5 linked regions of the Ovis aries genome follow. The protein of the gene in region 1 interacts with the protein of each later gene in a pairwise test. Links are inferred from orthologs where the notes say so. Each region holds a gene or a part of one and is shown in the gene's direction. Other genes may lie near its edges. The genes, in order: keratin-associated protein 26-1, GDPD5, GRN, MGAT5B and CCNJL.

What was found.
Region 2: the proteins of keratin-associated protein 26-1 (region 1) and GDPD5 interact in a two-hybrid assay, tested with the Homo sapiens proteins (2 studies listed by BioGRID and IntAct). The two-hybrid records come from large-scale screens. The link is inferred for Ovis aries from reciprocal best matches to the Homo sapiens genes KRTAP26-1 and GDPD5.
Region 3: the proteins of keratin-associated protein 26-1 (region 1) and GRN interact in binary tests that used the Homo sapiens proteins (3 or more experiments, as listed by UniProt). The two-hybrid records come from large-scale screens. The link is inferred for Ovis aries from reciprocal best matches to the Homo sapiens genes KRTAP26-1 and GRN.
Region 4: the proteins of keratin-associated protein 26-1 (region 1) and MGAT5B interact in a two-hybrid assay, tested with the Homo sapiens proteins (3 studies listed by BioGRID and IntAct). The two-hybrid records come from large-scale screens. The link is inferred for Ovis aries from reciprocal best matches to the Homo sapiens genes KRTAP26-1 and MGAT5B.
Region 5: the proteins of keratin-associated protein 26-1 (region 1) and CCNJL interact in binary tests that used the Homo sapiens proteins (3 or more experiments, as listed by UniProt). The two-hybrid records come from large-scale screens. The link is inferred for Ovis aries from reciprocal best matches to the Homo sapiens genes KRTAP26-1 and CCNJL.

The regions. Positions count from the first base shown.
Region 1 is NC_056054.1:126,218,540-126,221,382, forward strand, and holds keratin-associated protein 26-1, read left to right. Parts: upstream 1-1,455; 5' UTR 1,456-1,506; coding exon 1,507-2,061; 3' UTR 2,062-2,078; coding exon of another isoform or gene 2,079-2,139; 3' UTR 2,140-2,342; downstream 2,343-2,843. Other genes in the region: keratin-associated protein 24-1, read left to right, coding at 2,079-2,139. UniProt on the Homo sapiens protein: In the hair cortex, hair keratin intermediate filaments are embedded in an interfilamentous matrix, consisting of hair keratin-associated proteins (KRTAP), which are essential for the formation of a rigid and resistant hair shaft through their extensive disulfide bond cross-linking with abundant cysteine residues of hair keratins.
Region 2 is NC_056068.1:53,340,626-53,344,140, reverse strand, and holds part of GDPD5 (glycerophosphodiester phosphodiesterase domain-containing protein 5), read left to right. Parts: exon of another isoform or gene 1-244; intron 245-251; coding exon 252-364; intron 365-3,094; coding exon 3,095-3,243; 3' UTR 3,244-3,515. UniProt on the Homo sapiens protein: Glycerophosphodiester phosphodiesterase that promotes neurite formation and drives spinal motor neuron differentiation.
Region 3 is NC_056064.1:43,885,872-43,890,077, forward strand, and holds the start of GRN (progranulin), read left to right. Parts: upstream 1-1,391; 5' UTR 1,392-3,072; intron 3,073-4,200; 5' UTR 4,201-4,206. UniProt on the Homo sapiens protein: Secreted protein that acts as a key regulator of lysosomal function and as a growth factor involved in inflammation, wound healing and cell proliferation. Regulates protein trafficking to lysosomes, and also the activity of lysosomal enzymes.
Region 4 is NC_056064.1:54,245,282-54,248,796, reverse strand, and holds part of MGAT5B (alpha-1,6-mannosylglycoprotein 6-beta-N-acetylglucosaminyltransferase B), read left to right. Parts: intron 1-2,514; coding exon 2,515-2,589; intron 2,590-2,969; coding exon 2,970-3,226; intron 3,227-3,515. UniProt on the Homo sapiens protein: Glycosyltransferase that acts on alpha-linked mannose of N-glycans and O-mannosyl glycans.
Region 5 is NC_056058.1:69,446,920-69,450,907, reverse strand, and holds the start of CCNJL (cyclin-J-like protein), read left to right. Parts: upstream 1-1,175; 5' UTR 1,176-1,405; intron 1,406-1,794; 5' UTR 1,795-1,843; coding exon of another isoform or gene 1,844-1,850; coding exon 1,851-1,946; intron 1,947-3,988.

The DNA.
Region 1 (2,843 bases):
TGTTGGATCTCCTTGCAGTCCAAGGGACTCTCAAGAGTCTTCTGCAACACCACAGTTCAAATGCATCAATTCTTCGGTGCTCAGCTTTCTTCACAGTCCAACTCTCACATCCATACATGACCACTGGAAAAACCATAGCCTTGACTAGACAGATCTTTTTGGCAAAGTAATGTCTCTGCTTTTCAATATGCTATCTAGGTTGGTCATAACTTTCCTTCCAAGGAGAAAGTGTCTTAATTTCATGGCTGTAATCACGATCTGCAGTGATTTTGAAGCCCAGAAAAATAAAGTCTGCCAATGTTTCCACTGTTTCCCCATCTTTTTGCTATGAAGTGATGGGACCAGATGCCATGATCTTCGTTTTCTGAATGTTGAGCTTTAAGCCAACTGTTTCACTCTCCTCTTTCACTTTCATCAAGAGGCTCTTTAGTTCCTCTTCACTTTCTGCCATAAGGGTGGTGTCATCTGCGTATCTGAGGTTATTGATATTTCTCCCGGCAATCTTGATTCCAACTTGTGTTTCTTCCAGTCCAGTGTTTCTCATGATGTACTCTGTATATAAGTTAAATAAGCAGGGTGACAATATACAGCCTTGACATACTCATTTTCCTATTTGGAACCAGTCTGTTGTTCCATGTCCAATTCTAACTGTTGTTTCCTGACCTGCATACAGATTTCTCAAGAGGCAGGTCAGGTGGTCTGTATTCCCATCTCTCTCAGAATTTTCCACAGTTTATTGTGATCCACACAGTCAAAGGTTTTGGCATAGTCAATAAAGCAGAAATATATGTTTCTCTGGAACTCTCTTGCTTTTTTGATGATCCAGCAGATGTTAGCAGTTTGTTCTCTGGTTCTTCTGCCTTTTCTAAAGGCAGCTTGAACATCTGGAAGTTCACAGTTCACGCATTGCTAAAGCCTGACTTGGGGAATTTTAAGCATTACTTTGTTAGCGTGTGAGATGAGTGCAATTGTGTGGTAGTTTGAGCATTCTTTGGCATTGCTTTTCTTTGGGATTGGAATGAAAACTGACCTTTTCCAGTCCTGTGGCCACTTCTGGGTTTTCCAAATTTGCTGGCATATTGAGTGCAGCACTTTCACAGCATCATCTTTCAGGATTTGAAATAGCTCCACTGGAATTCCATCAGCTCCTCTAGCTTTGTTCACTTATGGAGTGGCGATTATTATTGGAATTAAGAAAACGACCTTCAAAATATCTGTCTTGGTTGGGTAATTTAAGGAGCACAGATACTATTTAAATCTGGTCATGCTGCTTTATAGATATCCTTAATCAATGGAAAGCCTTGCAAGGAATATCCAGTTTTATGGGAGGTGGAAGCATCACTTCCTGGACTCTAATGAAGAGTTGTTACGCGGCATCACACAACGCGGAAGAGTCTGTGCAGAATCACCGCCTTCTGTCAGGGTATATAAGACAGCACCGCGAAGGCGAAACCTGAGACACTCACTTCTTTGCAACAGACGACAACCTGCTCCTGAAACCTCACCATGTCTTGCCACAACTACTGCTCCGGAAACTACACCTTGGGGTCTCTCAGGAGTCCCTGTCACATTCCCGTCGCCTCCTCCGTCGGCCTCTACACTCCGAGTGTGAGCGTAGGAGATGGTCTCTGCTTGCCCAGCAGCTGTCAGGACCGAACCTGGATCCTGAGCAATGGCCAGGAGACCTGCAGTGAACCTACCAGCTGCCAGCCAGCCAACTGCGAGCCCAGCAGCTGTGAAACTTCCAGCTACCCTTCTTCTGGTTGCTATGTGCCAAGACCCAGCCAAGGAACGAGTTTTCTTCCCGCTTCTTCTTACCTCTCTGGATCCTGCCTCTCAGTGTCTTATAGACCGCTGGCCTATGTGTCCAGCAGCTCGCGACCCTTGAGCCTTCTCCCTTGTGGATATCGCCCCTCGGGTTCTTTGCCCTGTGGTCTTCAACCCATCAGCATTGTGTCCAGCGGCCTCAGACCTCTACGCCCTGTCTTCAGTGGATGCCAAACTCTGCCTTATGTGTTCAGTCCTTACCGTCCATCTTACTCTACCTGCGGAGGCCTGTAGCTTCTTTATTCCGGGCAATGATCACGCTGAAGATCCGAGACGACAATTGCAACTCCGCGCTCTTCTGCTCCTTTGCTAGTAGTGGCTGCCTGATCCAATGAAAGCTGTTCCTGTGCTTTTCCTGTGCCTGATCCAATGAAAGCTGTTCCTTTCCCATTTACATCTGTTTTTCATCTCTCCTTAGCATAAAATTATGATTTGCAGTGCTCTTCAATGTTGATTGGGTGTGGGAAGAATTTATTTGCTTTGGATTAAAATAAATGCGTTTAAGTCAGAACTAAGAACCTGGTGCTTCAGTTTGTCTTTATTTTAACACATGTGTGACTAACCTCAACTGCCTACAAGAGAAGTGGCTAGGACTTGGTATACCCAACTATGTGATTTTTACCTCACAGACTAGCTTGATGGTTTACTCCTCAAACTGCTTTCTAGATCTCTCTGATCCTACAACCTTAAAAGACCCAAAAACCTTTGGTGGAAGTTTGAAAAGACAAAATTAGGAATGATCTCCCTGTATCTCTCTTCCAGTGAACATGCCTTGACCAGAACATGCTTTCTAGTCAAAAACTAAAGGTATTTCACTCTTGCTTAAGCCTTTGATGGCTTCTTATGACTGATTCCTATACAACGAAAATACAAACATCATTACATTTGTTTCTTGCTTCTTCTTCTTCTTTTTTTTTTTTCATTGTCTCTCTCCTTCCCACTTCTTTGGCTTCACTTTCTTTTCTTCTCAATACTGCAAATTTTAAGGTCCGATGATTCTGACATACACATAGCTC
Region 2 (3,515 bases), on another chromosome or scaffold:
TGGGCAAGGGGAGCGGATGTAGGGTTCTGGAGGTAAGAGGGCTGGAGAGCCATGGCTGAGAGTCGGTGGACTCTGATCAGGCCCCAGCTCTGCCCTTCTCTGGGCTTCAGATTCCCCACAGATTCTATACAGTCAGACAAGATTCCTGCTGGTCTCTCGGGCCAGTTCCAGAGAGTCTGTGGAAGTGGGCATGATCCCTGCTCCAAGGAAGGGTGGGGAAGGACCTGATGCCCACGGGGCCGTCTCTGCAGGTGGCGCCTGGGTGGCATCCGGAGCTACAACCCCGAGCAGATCATGCTGAGTGCCGCAGTGCGCCGGACCAGCCGAGACGTCAGCATCATGAAGGAGAAGCTCATCTTCTCAGGTGTGCAACTCCACAGACAGGTTGAGACAGGCTCTGGGCTCTGTTCTCTGCACCCTGCAGGTTCACACGGGTGTGTGTACACATATTTCACATGCAGCATGCACAGACAGGCACATGGCACAGACATACGTATACCCACCTGGCTTCATGTCACAATGACACGGAAGCACACACACGCACCCCTCCACCTGCAGCCATCAGCTCCAGGTCCTGTGGCTCAGTGTCAGCCCCAGGGGTGGTGGGCTAGGGTGACATGCTGGGGTTGGGGGAGGAGTCTGCTTTGAAGGTCCATCCTGCCATATGCCTGGTTCATACAGGAACCCCACAAATGTTGATTTCCCCCCCTGCTTGCTGCCTGTTGACATTCCCAGACTGAAGGAGGAAGCAGCTGTACAAACAAATACATGGAGAATTAGATATAACAGATGGGGATGCAAGGAGGAGAGGGGTTCAGCACTGCCTGGGACAGTGAGGAAGGCTTCAGGCCCACTTTGTGAGGAGTGATGTCATTGAAATGGAAAGGAATGATAGGAGGGGCCTGGCTGATGGGTTTGAGGTGAGGACTGCGCAAGCAGAGGGAAGGAAGGGCACTCCAGGCAGGAACAGCATGTGTTCAGAGGCAGCGAGGAATGCCTACTTGCTGGGCACCAAGAACTCCAGGTCACTCCGCATGGCTTGAAGGGAGTGCCTCTGGCTGGTTCACCCCAAGGTGGCACTGGGGAGGCACTTGGGCCTGAGTGTGTGGTCAGGAGCTTGAGCTTTGTTCTGGAAGCAGAGGAGGGTCACAGATAGGTTTGCCTTTGTTACAGTAGGGCTGTAACAAAGTACCACGCGCTTAGAACAGAGATGGCTTAAAGGTGGCTTAAAAACAGAGATGTATCGTCTCACAGTTGGGAATGCTGAGTCCACGATCAAGGTGTCAACAGGGCTGTGAGGGAAAAATCTGGTCCTGGCCTCTCCCCTTGCCTCGCGAATGCATCTCTGTGTTTGAAGCTCTCCTTTGCAAGGACACCAGTCCGCTCTAACGACATCACCTTAACTAATTACATCTGCTGTGACCTTATTACCAGAGAGAGTCACATGCGGAGTGTAGGAATATAGGAATTTGAGGGGAACACAATTCAACCTCTTTTTGGGGGGTGGGCACACCACACAGCTTATGGGATCTTAGTTCCCTGACCAGGAATTGAACCCATGCCCCCCTGCAGTGGAAGCATGGAGACCTAACCACTGGACTGCCAGGGAAGTCCCCACAATTCAATCCCTAACAAGTGTGGAGGGTGGTAGGTTAGAATGGGAAGCTGAAAGCAAGGAAACCAATAATTCAGATGGGAATCGTGGGCATGGAAATGGGAAAGGAGAGATCTGGGAGGTATTTACAAGCCAGATGGCCCTGGATTCAAAGCCCAGCTTACGCCCCTCGCTGTGTGAACAAGAATGTGTTACCTAACCTACCTCAGCCTCAGACATCTCATCTGTAAAATGGGCGAGGTTTCCCTCACAGAGTACTTGTGAGGGTTAGTGCCATGCCTGGCCCAGAGGGGTGCTTGCTAAATGCTGCTTGAATGAACCTGGACCCAGAGTGGGTGGTTGTGGTTTTAGGGGGGGCTGGCTCCAACGACTGTGTGAACGTCCACTCATTCAGTCACTCCATTCACCCTTCTTTCAAGGCGTGGCAGGCACTGCTCCGGGTGCTAAGGATATGCAGATTCTTGCCTCTGGGATGCTCGACTCCTCCTACCCTCACTCAAAACCCTCCTCCTGGGAGCCTTCCCTGAGCACCAGAGCTGGGTTGGAGGGCCTACCCTAGTGTTCCACAGCTCTCTGGCAACACTGAGGAGCTCCTGGAAGGAGGAGCCAGAACAGGGCGTCTGGGATCCTCAGGCTCCTGCACTGTACCTGACTCCGAGAAGCCAGAAGGGGTGGGTAGAATGAATGGAAGGCAGGCCAGCACTTAGGCCTGTCAGATCCTGCACCCCACCCCTCACCTTTCCTGCAGTGCCAAAGGCCATTCACTTAGCATCTTCTGGGTGCTGGCCCTGAGGAATCAACCACAGGTCTTACCCTCTGCCCATTCCTGGTTGAGAAGTCCTCTCTAGGGACCGTCAGCCCCACCCAGGCACCTGGAGTCCCCTTGGGGAGGCTTCGCTGCCCTCAGCAGACCTTTTCTGAGGCTCTGCTGTGCGTCCAGCACTGCACCAGGCACTGGGAACACTGATGCCCAGGCCTCATCCGTGTCCTTGAAGTGCTCCGGCTGAAGGGGGTCACAGATGGTGATGGAGCAGGGGGAGCAGCAGGGGGCAGGGTGAGGAGGCCCCCTCCCAGCCTGGGAGCAGTAACAGAAATGAGAAGAATTTAGCCAGGTTTTAAGAAAAGGAGGTGATGTTGGGGGGTCGTGCCCAGGAGATAGGCCAATGTGTGCAAAGCCCCAGGGAGAGTAAACACGCCGGTGCCACGCTCAGGAGGGTGCAGGTAGTTTTCTGTGGCTTGAGGGTAGAGTTCCAGGGGAGAGGAGAATGAGGCGCAACCAGAGTGTTTGCAGAGACTGAGAAGGGCCTTGAATGCCAGACTCACACACCAGTACCACACCTGAAACCTGAGGTTGCATCAGCCTCCAAGTGCCTGCTCGGGAGTTGCTACAGGCCACGCCTCCCCACCGCATCTGCCAGTCCTCCTTATGTGCCCCCTCTCCTCCCTGCACTCACATCTTGCCTCCCTGTGGCCCAACAGAGATCAGCGATGGCATGGAGGTCTCCGATGAGCTCTCCGTATGTTCGGACAACAGTTACGACACGTATGCTGACAGCGCCACCGCCCCGGTGGCCCCTCGGGGGAGCGGCAGCCGTGCCAAGACCCTCACAGACCGGAGTGGGCGTTAGCTGAAGACCCGTCTGTCCAGCTGTACCTCGTGTGGAGACAAGAGAAGCGCACAGAGCTGGCAGGAGCATGCTCGGGGCGCTGACTCCACAGCCTCCTCATAGGCTCTGGCCCCTTGTCAGCCACGGCCTCTCTTGGAGGGGCTCCCCTCTAGCCTCTCAGATGCCCCTGCAGGCCTGGGGCTCCGTTTTCTGGGAAGTTTGGGGCCCAGGGCCCGGGGCCTGGTCGACTCCCTGAGGCCCTCCTTGGCATCCTTACCTGGAAGCTTTGGGGG
Region 3 (4,206 bases), on another chromosome or scaffold:
GGTACATCTCCCATCACCCACCTCTGCCTGGGCCAGGCCCCATAAAGGGCACCAAGCAGTCTAGCTCCTGCTGCTGGTGAATCTGTTCTGTGCGGTTTTTTTTTTTTCTCCCTCACTGGCTTCCTTGGTGGCTAAGATGGTAAAGAATCTGCCTGCAATGTGCAAGACACAGGTTTGATCCCTGGGTTGAGAAAATCCACTAGAGAAGGAAATGGCTACCCACTCCAGTATTTTTTCCTGGAGAATTACATGGACAGAAGAGCCTAGAAAGCTACAGTCCATGGGGTCTCAAAAAGTCGGACACAACTGAGCGACTAACACTTTCACTTTACGGCTTCCCTGGTGGCTCAGTGGTAAAGAATCTACTTGCAAAGCAGGAGACCCAGGAGACTGCGGTTTCATCCCTGGAGAAGGGAATGGCAATCCACTCCTATATTCTTGCCTGGAAAATTCCACGGACAGAGACTTGTGGGCTATATAGTTCATGGGGTCGCAGAGTCGGATACGACCGAGTACACACGCTCGCTAACGCGCGCATCAACAAATCAATTCCTGAAAGGTAAGGGCTTGACTGAAACTAAGGAGCTACTTCCGGTATGCACCCACACCCACAGTCAGCCCAGCCTGGTGCCACACACCCAGCAACTCCACAAGTCCACTTCACTGAACCTGGCATTCAATCCCCGCCCAAGGCTGCCCTTCCATCTGGTTTTCTAATGCTTTTCCCAATACCCTCTGTCTAGCTACTTCTCCAACCCGTCTCCACTTGCCACTTAAAATCCTCCCAGACTCAGCTTCAAAAAGTGCCCCCAAGGTGGCACTTTTTTCCTGCTCAGATCTAACCAACTACTTCTTCTCTACACACACCTGGAGCACCTGGAACACGATTCTCCTACCCCCTCCCCATCCCCTGCTGTGAGCACCTTGAGGAAAGGACCTGAGGTCTGTTTATCCTTGCCCTCACAACTCTCCTTCAGTCCCCGTTGGGGCCCGGCTGCCGAGCACTAAATCTGCATGGGATGAACAGAATAGAGACAGGATGCACAACTGTTCTAAATCCAAGAGACACCCCTTAAATGCTCTTGAACGCACCCACTAAGGGACAGATCTCTTGGCTCTCAATGTCCCCGAAAAGGAGCTGACTCTCGGGATGGGTTAACAGAAGGCAGCGGGCACCCGCAAGCAGGCTGAGCCGTCCCAGGGCGTCACATGATTCTCCAATCACATGATCCCTAGAAATGGGGGGTTGGGGAGAGAGAGGAAGGAGGGAGGGGAGTGAATTGAGTAGGAAAAGAAACACAGGATCCCAGGTTGGCCCCGCCTTTACGTCGACGAGTAGCCAATGGGAGTGCGACATTCCGGACACCTGACCAATGGAAATTGAAGTGGGTGGGCCATCGAGCCGAGTGGCCCAAGTGGATGAGCTGCCTGACCGCTGCTACCCAGCGATCGCGGACCCCGACGCAGGTAAGGAGGGTGGACTTCGCTTGCTCCTTCTTAGGGGCCCAGCCTGGGGGACGTGGGAGATGGGGCTCCTCTGGAGTTTCAGCGGTGATACAAAAAAAAAGATTCTCTTATAGAAACTCCGATGCACTGGAGGGAGTTTTATGGGTGGTGGGAGTAAACAGTAATTGCAGTGACCCCCATTAGAAGGGGCTCTCTCTCCAGCACCCCTGGAGGCTGCAGCCCCTTCTCCCAAAGCAGAGATCACTCTGTTCTTGAGTCGACTCCGCCCCCGTCGGCAGGTGCTGGTAGTGGTGCTGGTGGGCAGTCCCCGCTGCGCCTGGCAGCAAGCGAGGCACCCGCCCCTGGCCCCCGAGCTCAGAGGGCTGGGAGTAGGGCTTGTGATCCTGGTCTCCTCAAAGACAGTAGGGACTTGGGAGTGGTGATTGAACCCCTGGGATGTGTCTGACTCTCTCTAACTTCCTCTCGTGGGGCTAACTTCCGCCTCCCCCGGCCACTTTTTCTTGCTCTCTCCGCTGTTGGGTTGGCTCACCTTTTGGGAAATCTTTCTCCTGGCACTCGAAGTGGGGGGCTGCCATCTAGTGGAAGATGACGGAGCTGGGGACTTGAAGAGGCAGTGTCCTCCCTCTCTGTAGTGGCAGTGTCGGGTTGGGGTGCCACCACTTGGAACCCTACTGAGATGAACTGGGTTCCCTCTTCCCCATTCTGGTTCTGAGTGTGTGTGTGCGCGCGTACATATATGTGTATTCAGTAGAAGCGTACACTACTTCCAAACCCCAGGATACCCAGGAAGAAGGATGTACCTAAATGAATCACTAGGGTGCTGAGTAGTCAGAGATGTGTGCAGACAGGCATCCCTCCTGGCCAGGGCAGGCCAGCGAGTCTGCAGGGTTATGATTGGACTCCTAAAAAGCAGGGCGGCCAGCTCCCTTTCCAGGGAGCTGTGGGCATTGGGGAAGAGAGTGAAAGGGGCCAAGGTCCAGGACCAGTCTTCTTCAGCCTCTCCTGTACAGGAGATAGCCTCCAGGGGGTGGTCTTTGAGTTGGGGAGAGGGCGGTGAGGAAAGCCAGGTGAGGGAGAGAGGATGTGAGTGACCCTGTGTGTGCTATTCTCTGCCACACAAAGTGTGCAGTGTCCACCCATAGACTGACTGAGAACTGAGGCCTAAAGACAGGAAGCAACTTCTGAGGCCTTCATTCTAGCACTCATGTGCAGTATCCAGGCAGCCCCTGTACCCCACATTTCTGTCTGGGTCCAGTCTACTTGCCCAGAGAAACATTTCTATCCCTCTTCTCTGCTTGGACACCAGGCTTCTATCCTCCTTGGGTTTGGGGGGCCTGTCCCAGGCACTGTCCGTGGTACCACTTGTGAACCCAGGTCCAATATACTCTGGAGCCATCAGAGCCTGTCATCTCTATGTTTTGATATTTGACATAGGCGGGTTACTTCCTATCTCTAAGCCTCAGTTTCCTCCTTAGAAAAGTAAAGGTAATAATTCCTACTTTGCATGGTTGTTACAGAAAAAAAAAAAAAAGAAAATATGTAGAATGTTGTCACTGGCTTCTAACTGGTTCAGCACACATGACTGTTTTGGCCCCTCTAGACAGGGTAAGATCTTCTGGGCCTGCCCCATTGAACTAGCAGGGCTGGCTGAGCTTGGGGGAAGAGTTGTTCAGGAAGTGAAAGGCCACTCCCCTTCAGAGAATGAGGCTTGCTTCCTTCTGCTGATGTGGATGGCAGCCTGGTGGGCACACATGGGCTCTCTACATGCAGCTGGGTTTCTGCTCCAGGATAGGGAGAGGTGGAGGGGAAGGGTGGTGGGAATGTTTGAGGATCCTGAAAGGGCCTGGTGTGGGACTTCCCTGGCAGTCTGGTGGTTAAGACTCCAAGCTCCCAATGTAGGGGGCATGGGTTCAATCCCTGATCAGGGAACTAAGAACCAACATGCTGCATGGGCATGGCCCCCCAATTTTTTTAATTAAAAAATTTTTAAAAGAAAGGTCCTGGTTGTATTGGGGGCCCATGGAGCACAGGTGACCCAAAGGTTGACCAAGCCTATGCGTCTCCTTTGGATGGGGAGGGGACAGTCAGCAGGCAGGTGGTGGCTGGCCTTTGGGGAAGGCAGCCCAGACTCCGTCAACATCATGCTTCCTTTTTCACAACTTTCTCAACCCCGTGGTTGATCATGTCATCATGTGACCTCCCCTCCCCTGCCAGCAGGCCTTAGCAGAGGGCAGGTGTGAACACAGCATTGGGTGAAGAGGCAACTGGAGGCACTGGCTCGGGAAGTGAAACCCTGGCTTTCCTTCAAGGGGAGACTTCAGTTCTTTCTTCCTAGGGCAACTGATGTCTTTCCCACCCCCATGGAGGTGGCTTACCTCCCCACAGCTCAGGCCCACAAAACCCACAGATCTTCCGGACTCTCACATACCCACATCTGCACACACTCAGCCACAGAGATTCAACTGTTAGGCCATGCACTGGGGACACAGATTCACTCACGTACGCATGCCAGCATTCATGCTCATGGATGTACACTCGCTGGTGCACGTGTGACCCCCGCACAGGACACACGTAGGAAGCTGAGCCTCAAGCCCCGCATCTTCTTGCCCGGACAGGCTGTTGTTGTGGAGGCTCAGATGGTCCTGGGCCTTCGGCAGGGGGCAGTGACTGGTCCCAGAATCAAGGGTGGCCTCAGCTTAAGCCAGTTGCCAAATGCTTCTTGGCACTTTGCAGGTGGAC
Region 4 (3,515 bases), on another chromosome or scaffold:
TCTCTGTCCAGGGTGAGGCCACTCGAGGTGAGGGGAGGGAGAGGAGGGGCAGGTAGGTGGGGGGAGGGACGCCTGCTTTCTCCCTGCCCGCCGTTCTCATTATCACAGGCCGGTAATTCCAGCAGGACCAGCACCTGCCATTCTGTGAGACAGATCGCTGTGCACACCTGTAATTAGACCTAATGGGGGTAATTTCCAGGCAGGCTGGCTCGTCCGGTGGGAGATTCGCGGCAGGTGGGACGTGGCTGCTCTGAAAGGTCCCCTCATTCGGGGGGGGCTGCGGCTTTGAATCACCGCGTGATGGGCTTCAAACCACGAGGGGGATAACTCGGCGGCTGCTGCTAGAGCAGGCACTGACATTTGGAGGGGAAGTCTCTTCTTCGGGGGGTTTATTTAAAACCAGGACTTGAAGCCTTGTAGCCGAGGCGACTGGGGAACTGCTAGGGCAGCAGCTGGCGACGGGGCCTCGGCGGCCAGCAGCTCAGGCTGGGACTGACTGTGCAGAGCTCAGGGCTGAAAAGCTGTGCTGGTCGATGGGCTGTGAAGAATGTGGCTGGGTGTGGACCCGGGGAATTCTCTGGGACCCCGGAACTGCCCCTGGGTTAAGGACTCCAGCTCACAGTGCAGTTGAAGTGAGGACTGGGGCAAGGTCAGATGGGAGGGGTCTTGTCCTGAGACTCGGTCCTGGTGGCGGCTGCCGCTTCCCAAGACCCTCCTCAGCTTGATGTCGGGCATGTCCCCCTGGCCAGAGGGCTCAGGATGGGCCTGCAGCCCCTCGAGGTGGGGTCTCCTGGAGGCAGGATTGGGCTCTGACTCCACCTCTGATGATGAGGAAGGGCAGGTGCGGGGGGAGTGTGGCCTCGAGCAGACCTGCAGGATTTCACTACCAGGGCTGAAGCTACCTGATTTCTGGCGCTGCTGGCTGGGAAATGGCATTAACAGGAGGTGGGCTGGCTGGGTGTGGTGCCCCCCCTACACACACACACACATGGGGAGTGGGGCATGGGTGTTGAAGACTAAAACAGATCTTTCTCTGAGTCTGAGATGGACTATCTCCCAGGTCAGCCTGCTCTTGCCTCCTGCCCACCTGGCCGATCTTTCCTCCAAGCTGGCTTTGTGCTGGGCCACCGGGGGGTTGGTGTAAACAGGGCAGGGGTGGTCAGGCGAGAAGAGTGGAGGAGAGGTGGGGGTCCCCACTCCCGGGAGGCAGGTGCCTCATCACTTCCTCTCTCTGTTCCCTTCACTTCTCGGGCCCCAGCTGCCAAATCCATCTGCTCCCATCAGCCCCAGTGTGTGCTGCTCTGTAACTTTGATATTTAGATGGACGGTGTGTGGCCTCCGTTTGGGGCACCTAGTTCATGGAGCTCCCAGGTGCCTGATCTGGGCAGGAAGCTTCACAGATGTGATCTCATTCCATCAGACTGAGAGATGCTCTGGGTTTCTTTGCGTGAACCTTCCACATCTTGGGCAGGACACAGGCAGAGCTGGGATGCTTTTCCGTCCTATGACTACTTCCCCAGTGAGGACTGTGTTCCGGGCAGTGGGTGAGGCATCAGGGATTCGATGGTGAACAAGTCATGGTCCCAGAGTGCATGGGGCTCCTAACCTGAGGCAGACAAGGGACACATCAGAAATGATGACACAGGAGCCAGTTCTACACTGGGGAAGCCTGGGGTGGGGGCCAAGGAAAGTGGTCTTTTAACAGGAGTTAAACAGGAGGTGGTACTCTGGGTCTGCTTCCTGGAGGAGGTGACATCTAAGCTATGCTGTGCTTCGTCACTGTCATGTCTGACTCTTGGTGACCCCGTGGCCTGTAGCCCACCAGGCTCCTCTGTCCATGGGGATTCTCCAGGCAAGAAGACTGAAGTGGGTTGCCATGCCCTCCTTCAGGGCACCTTCCCAACCCAGGGATCGAACCCAGGTCTCCCGCATTGTGGGCAGATTCTTTACTGAGCCACCAGGGAAGCCCAAGGATACTGGAGTGGGTAGCCTATCCCTTCTCCAGGGGAAGTTTTTGACCCAAGAATCAAACCAGGGTCTCCTGCGTTGCAGGCGGATTCTATACCAGCTGAGCTGAGCCACCAGGGAAGCAAAGAATACTAGCGAAGGTTGTCATTTCCTCCTCCAGATGAACTTCCTGACCCAGGGATTGAACTCATGTCTCCTGCCAGTGGATTCTTTACCACTGAGCCACCGGGGAAGGAGAGGATGAATCCAGGGGTTGGCTCAGAAAGAGCAGACATCACAGCCCAAATGGAGATGGAACAGTGAGCTTTAGGGAAAGAGGAAAAACTTGGTGTAGCTGGAAGAGAGCCAAGGAGAGATGAGCTGTCCTGAGCCCCTGGGGGCACTGCGGGGTGCACTGAGGAGCAGGGCATTTGAGTGGATGGAGTGGTCGGCTCACTGGGTGCAGGATGCCTGAGCCCCCAGATCTCTGCTCCCAGAGCTGAGCGGCCAGGTCTGGGGAGCCCCAGGGTTTCTCCTGACCCATGTGTCTGCCTGTCTCTCCCACAGGTGGACCCCTACCTGCCCTACGAGTACACATGTGAGGGGATGCTGGAGCGAATCCATGCCTACATCCAGCACCAGGTGTGTGGGTCCCCCACCCTCTGTCTCTGGGGTGGGATGGCTCCAGAGTCTGAGGACCCACCTCTGCCTGGGGTGCAGGGTGCTTTAAACCCCCAGTCTTTCTCCAGCCTGTTTTCTTCCCTGTGAAGGGTGGAGATGGACTGTTGGGGGGACAACAGTACTACTCAGAGACCAGGCCTGGAGCGCCCCTCTCCTGGACCCCCAGCTCTAGCATCCCAGCCTCCATATCATAGCATGGAAATCCAAATACTTTTATTTTTCATTTTATTATAAAGCTGTTTAAAAGTTTGGTAGCAAGTGAGGGGGAAGTAGGGAGTAGGTTGAGTCGGCGGGAGAGAGGCACCCCAATTTTCCTCCTAACTCTGCTTTCCTCCCGGCAGGACTTTTGTGTAGACCCGGCTCCTGCCCCACCTGGGGCCCGAGCCCCGCAAAGCCCCTTCATCCTGGCTCCCAATGCCACCCATCTCGAATGGGCCCACAACACCAGCTTAGCCCCGGGGGCCTGGCCCCCAGTGCACTCTCTCCGGGCCTGGCTGGCTGCCACGGGGAGGGCCTGCACGGACGCCTGCCTGGACCACGGGCTGATCTGTGAGCCCTCGTTCTTCCCCTTCCTCAACAGCCAGGACGCCTTCCAGAAGTGAGTGAGCCCCCTGCCTGACCTGGCCCAGCTGACCTCACCTGTAGCCTGTCACTCCCTTGACCACCTTGCCCCCTGGCCTGCCAGCAAGGGTGAGGGGGACTCAGTGCTTCCCAGAGAGGAAGGATCTGGAAAGGACCTTCCAGGCAGGTTTCCACATTGCAGCTCTACACCCTTGGCAAAGCCTCAGACCCCTGCCCAGCCTGTCTGGGCATCTTCTAGGTCCAGGCCGCAGAAACTGCCTGATTCCTCCTGATGCGTCAGCCTGTGGCCCTGCCCTCCTGCCCAC
Region 5 (3,988 bases), on another chromosome or scaffold:
AGTGTTGTCATCCCTCCCCCACCCCCCATCTACCCACAATTGTTAGAATTTTATTTAAAAAGTTAATTTGTGCAAAGTTGGTATTTTCACCTTTTTCTATTTCCTCAAACTTTTCTTATTCTGCTCAACCTTTATAATTTCTTTATTAAGAGCCTGTATTTATTAATGCTTATTCATTGTTATTTTTCACTTTTACAAGGTGTTTTTTTTTTTAACATTAAAACTTCTCTTTAAGCACCTATTGAAGCTTATCAAAGCTGATTTAAAAATTTCTTTCCAGCTGGGTACCTGCCTGTAGGAAACTAGTCAGAAACCAAAGCCTCCTTTGTAGCAGCTAGTTATTGAGTGTTTGTTTTATACTTGGCATGGGGATTATCCCTTTATACGAATTATCTTATTTAACGATGCAGTATCTCCAGCAGATTGGTGTAGTTTTTATTCCCAATTTTCACATGAGGGTGGGTTCCCAGAGAGTCTGAGGAACATGGCAAAAGTCATCCAGTCGGTAGCTGGAATTGAAACGGGTGACTCTCCAAAAGTATCACAAAAAGCAATCAATTTGTTGTTCCATCAGAGGGGCTGGTTCAAGGGAGTGTCTTTCCGAAAACAAATTAAAACTAAATTAAAAAGACAGTGCTTCCATCCACCTGACCCTCCAGAAACACTGGTTTTCTCCCAATGTAACGAGTAGATCTATACTTTGCAGGAGCACAAAACAAAATCCGTTGATTTACTGAGCCTCCTTCAGAAACAAGGACTCTTGGATAATCAAGAGCGGGTTTGGGGGGCTTCCGTGGGAATTTTACATTTAGACAGCCATCTCCGCATTTCAGGACTAGTTAAAAAGAAAAAACAGGTGGAACCGACTAAAGGTAGGTAAGAACAGCGCACGCGAGAGACAGAACTTTCTGGGGGCATCCTGCCCGCGTCCTTCACGAGCGGCGCGCGCAGGTGGCGCCGCGGTCCCAGCGCTGCCCGCGTGAGCACACGGGTGTCCAGGAGACCACCGGGAGTCCCCGCGAAGGTGAGAGGAAGCTTTCCACCCAGGCGGGGGTGGAGTGCGGACTGGAAAAACAGCCAGCTCTGGCGAAAGAAAGACTCCAATTCCCAGCCCCCAGCCCCGCGGGGTGCGGGGGCCGGCGGCGCATGCGCGAGGCCCGGCCCCCAATTCCCCCAGCGAAGGAGGGAGGCCCCCGGCGGCCCGGAGGCTGCGAGCCGCGGCGGGACCCGAGCGCAAGCAGGGGCGCGGCGGCGGCACGGGCGAGCAGGGCTACGGAGGCGGCCGTCGAGAGCTTGGAGCGCCCCGCGCCAGGGCCGCCTTTGCTTGCAGGCACCCGAGGGCACAGCCGGCTCGGCCCTGGGAAGAGCCCGGCGCCCGCAGCCCCCCACCTCCGGAGAGGGATGCGTGAGTTTCGCCCCGGCTGGAGGGCAGGATGTGGGAGCAGGACAAAGGCTGGGCGGCGGGGGAGGAGTTGGGGACGGCGAGCCGGTGGCGGCTGCCGGAGCCCCGGCCTCTGGAGAGCTAGCGGAGTCTGCAACTTTCTGTGCAACTTTTGCAAAAAGGAAGATAAAATTTCTGCAAGTTGTTGCAGAGCTTCAGGTCGCCTCAGGTCCCACGAGTAAAGGGGAGGGGACGGTGCAGCCTTCTTGGGATAGGAGGCGACCGTCCTCCGCTGAGTGGTGCAGAAGGGGGCGCCCGGCAGAGGCCCGAGCCGAGGACAAGAGAGGATGGGGATGCCGGGGTAGGAGCTGGGGGGCGCGCTTCGGGCTCTGAAGTTGCCTGTGTCCACTCAGGGTGTGCCCTCAAAACCCGGTAGCCTCGGAGAGCGGCGCTGCAGACGCGATGATGGATGAGCCGTGGTGGGAAGGGCGCGTCGCCTCGGACGTCCACTGCACCCTGCGCGAGAAGGTCAGTCCCTCCCCGTCCTTGTCACTCGCAGGACTGGGTATGTAAAGTCCCTTTCGCTCTTGACTCCATATCTTCGGGTCGCCCTGCGTCGGAGCTAGGAACTCCCGGTGCCTTTCTTTCCTTCTGCCCTTAGCCTCCTCCGGGGACAGTCGCGGGAAGAAGGGGAATGAGAAACGGGACTGGAGAGCTTAAATTGGTTTTTCTGCATAGGAGCCCAGAGTTCTTAGACAACTAAACTGTACTGCTTAAGGTGGTATTTCCCATAGTATTGTCACCCGAGATTATTTTAAAGGATACATGAACGGACTTAAAAAAAAAAAAGTTATCGTGTATTGACTGTGCAATTTAAAAACATGTATCTAGCAATCTCTGTGTAGAATAAATGATGCTGATTTTCCATTTATTGTAACGATATAGCAGTTCCTTTAAATATGTTTCTTTAAGTAAAAGTAGTAACATGATATAAAGAACAGTTAGGTTAATACTAGACTAAGACATATGTAGTTATGCCCCACCCCCAAAATATCTAGGATGGGACTGAATAAGATTTTAGAAACACTAGTCTAAAGGAGAGGCTACAGAACTAGGAGAATGGGGAGAAAACCAGCACTCCCCTGCCAGTGTGCCTCCACTGGCAGAAGATGGGGACAGCTGAAATATGATCTCTGCTCTCCCCCACCCCTTAAAGGGAGAAGTGCTGATAGGCTCTGGGAAGGTGGCGGACTGCAGGTGGGTTAGAGGTATGGCCTGTGTGTCTTGTCTCCTGCCCCTGAGCTGAGACTGGGAAGGGTGGTTTGGGGAACAGATGTGTAATGAAAGGTGTGTATGGAGAAGGCAATGGCACCTCACTCCAAAACTCTTGCCTGGAAAATCCCATGGATGGAGGAGCCTGGTAGGCTGCAGTCCATGGGGTCGCAAAGAGTCAGACATGACTGAGCGACTTCACTTTCACTTTTCACTTTCATGCATTGGAGAAGGACATGGCAACCCACTCCAGTGTTCTTGCCTAGAGAATCCCAGGGACAGAGGAGCCTGGTAGGAGGCCGTCTATGGGGCTGCACAGAGTTGGATGTGACTGAAGCGACTTAGCAGCAGCAGCAGCATTGGTTTCCTAGGGCTGCTGGACAAGCTACCACAAACCTGGGGCCTTAATAAAAATGTGCTCTCTGACAGTTCTGGAGGCTGGAAGTCCGCAGTTAAGGTGTTAGCAGGGCCACATTGCTCCTTGGCTTTCCTTGGCTGGTAGATGCATCGCTCTGCCTCTGCCTCTTGTCACATGGTGTTCTGTCGGTATGTCTGTCTGTGCCTCTGTTTTCTCACCTTATAAGGACACCAGTCGTTGGAATGGGGGCTGCTTGACCTCATCTTAATTTAATTAATTACATCAGAAAAGACCCTATTTCCAAATAAAGCCATTCTGAGGTTCTGGGTAGACATGAATTTTGGGGGGACGCTATCCAACCCAGTACAGCGAGGGGTAGGTCTCCTTAGTGAGTCCCTGGGTCACATCCAGTGCATTTGCACCCAATGTCTGTGGAGTTCTGCCTAAAAAGTCATTAGCTATTCAGAGTTTTTTCCTCATGAGGGGGTAGCTGTATTCCAGTCCAATTATCTTATCTTGTTTCCTGTACCTAGTAGTCCATCTCTGTTTTGCATTGCTTGTCAGGCTGCGGCTTTCCTCTGCTTCCCTTGGTTTTTCTCCCCAGAACAGTACGGCCCAAGGTGCAAGCATAGCAAGGCATATGGAAAAGAAATCCAGATCTTGGTGGTTCAGGTAACATGCCGGCAGTGGGAGTGGTAGACCAGGTAGTAAGGTCTTGGTCCTTTTCTGGAGGTGGTGGCTAGATGAATTAGTGAGGCCTGCCGTAAAAACGGGGCTTGCTTGTTCTTTGCAGGTGCCAGTGGTTGTCAGCTCTGCTGGTAGCTTAGGGGAATGGCTTTGACCTCATTGGTTCCTTTCTGGCAGGAAGGATTTCTGAGAGCAGTATAAACTCAACCAGCTCAGTTACCTGAGAATCCTCGACCTTTTGTATATAAATAAGAATGTTCTCATCGCTCCTTCAGCCACTCAAAGGAGCA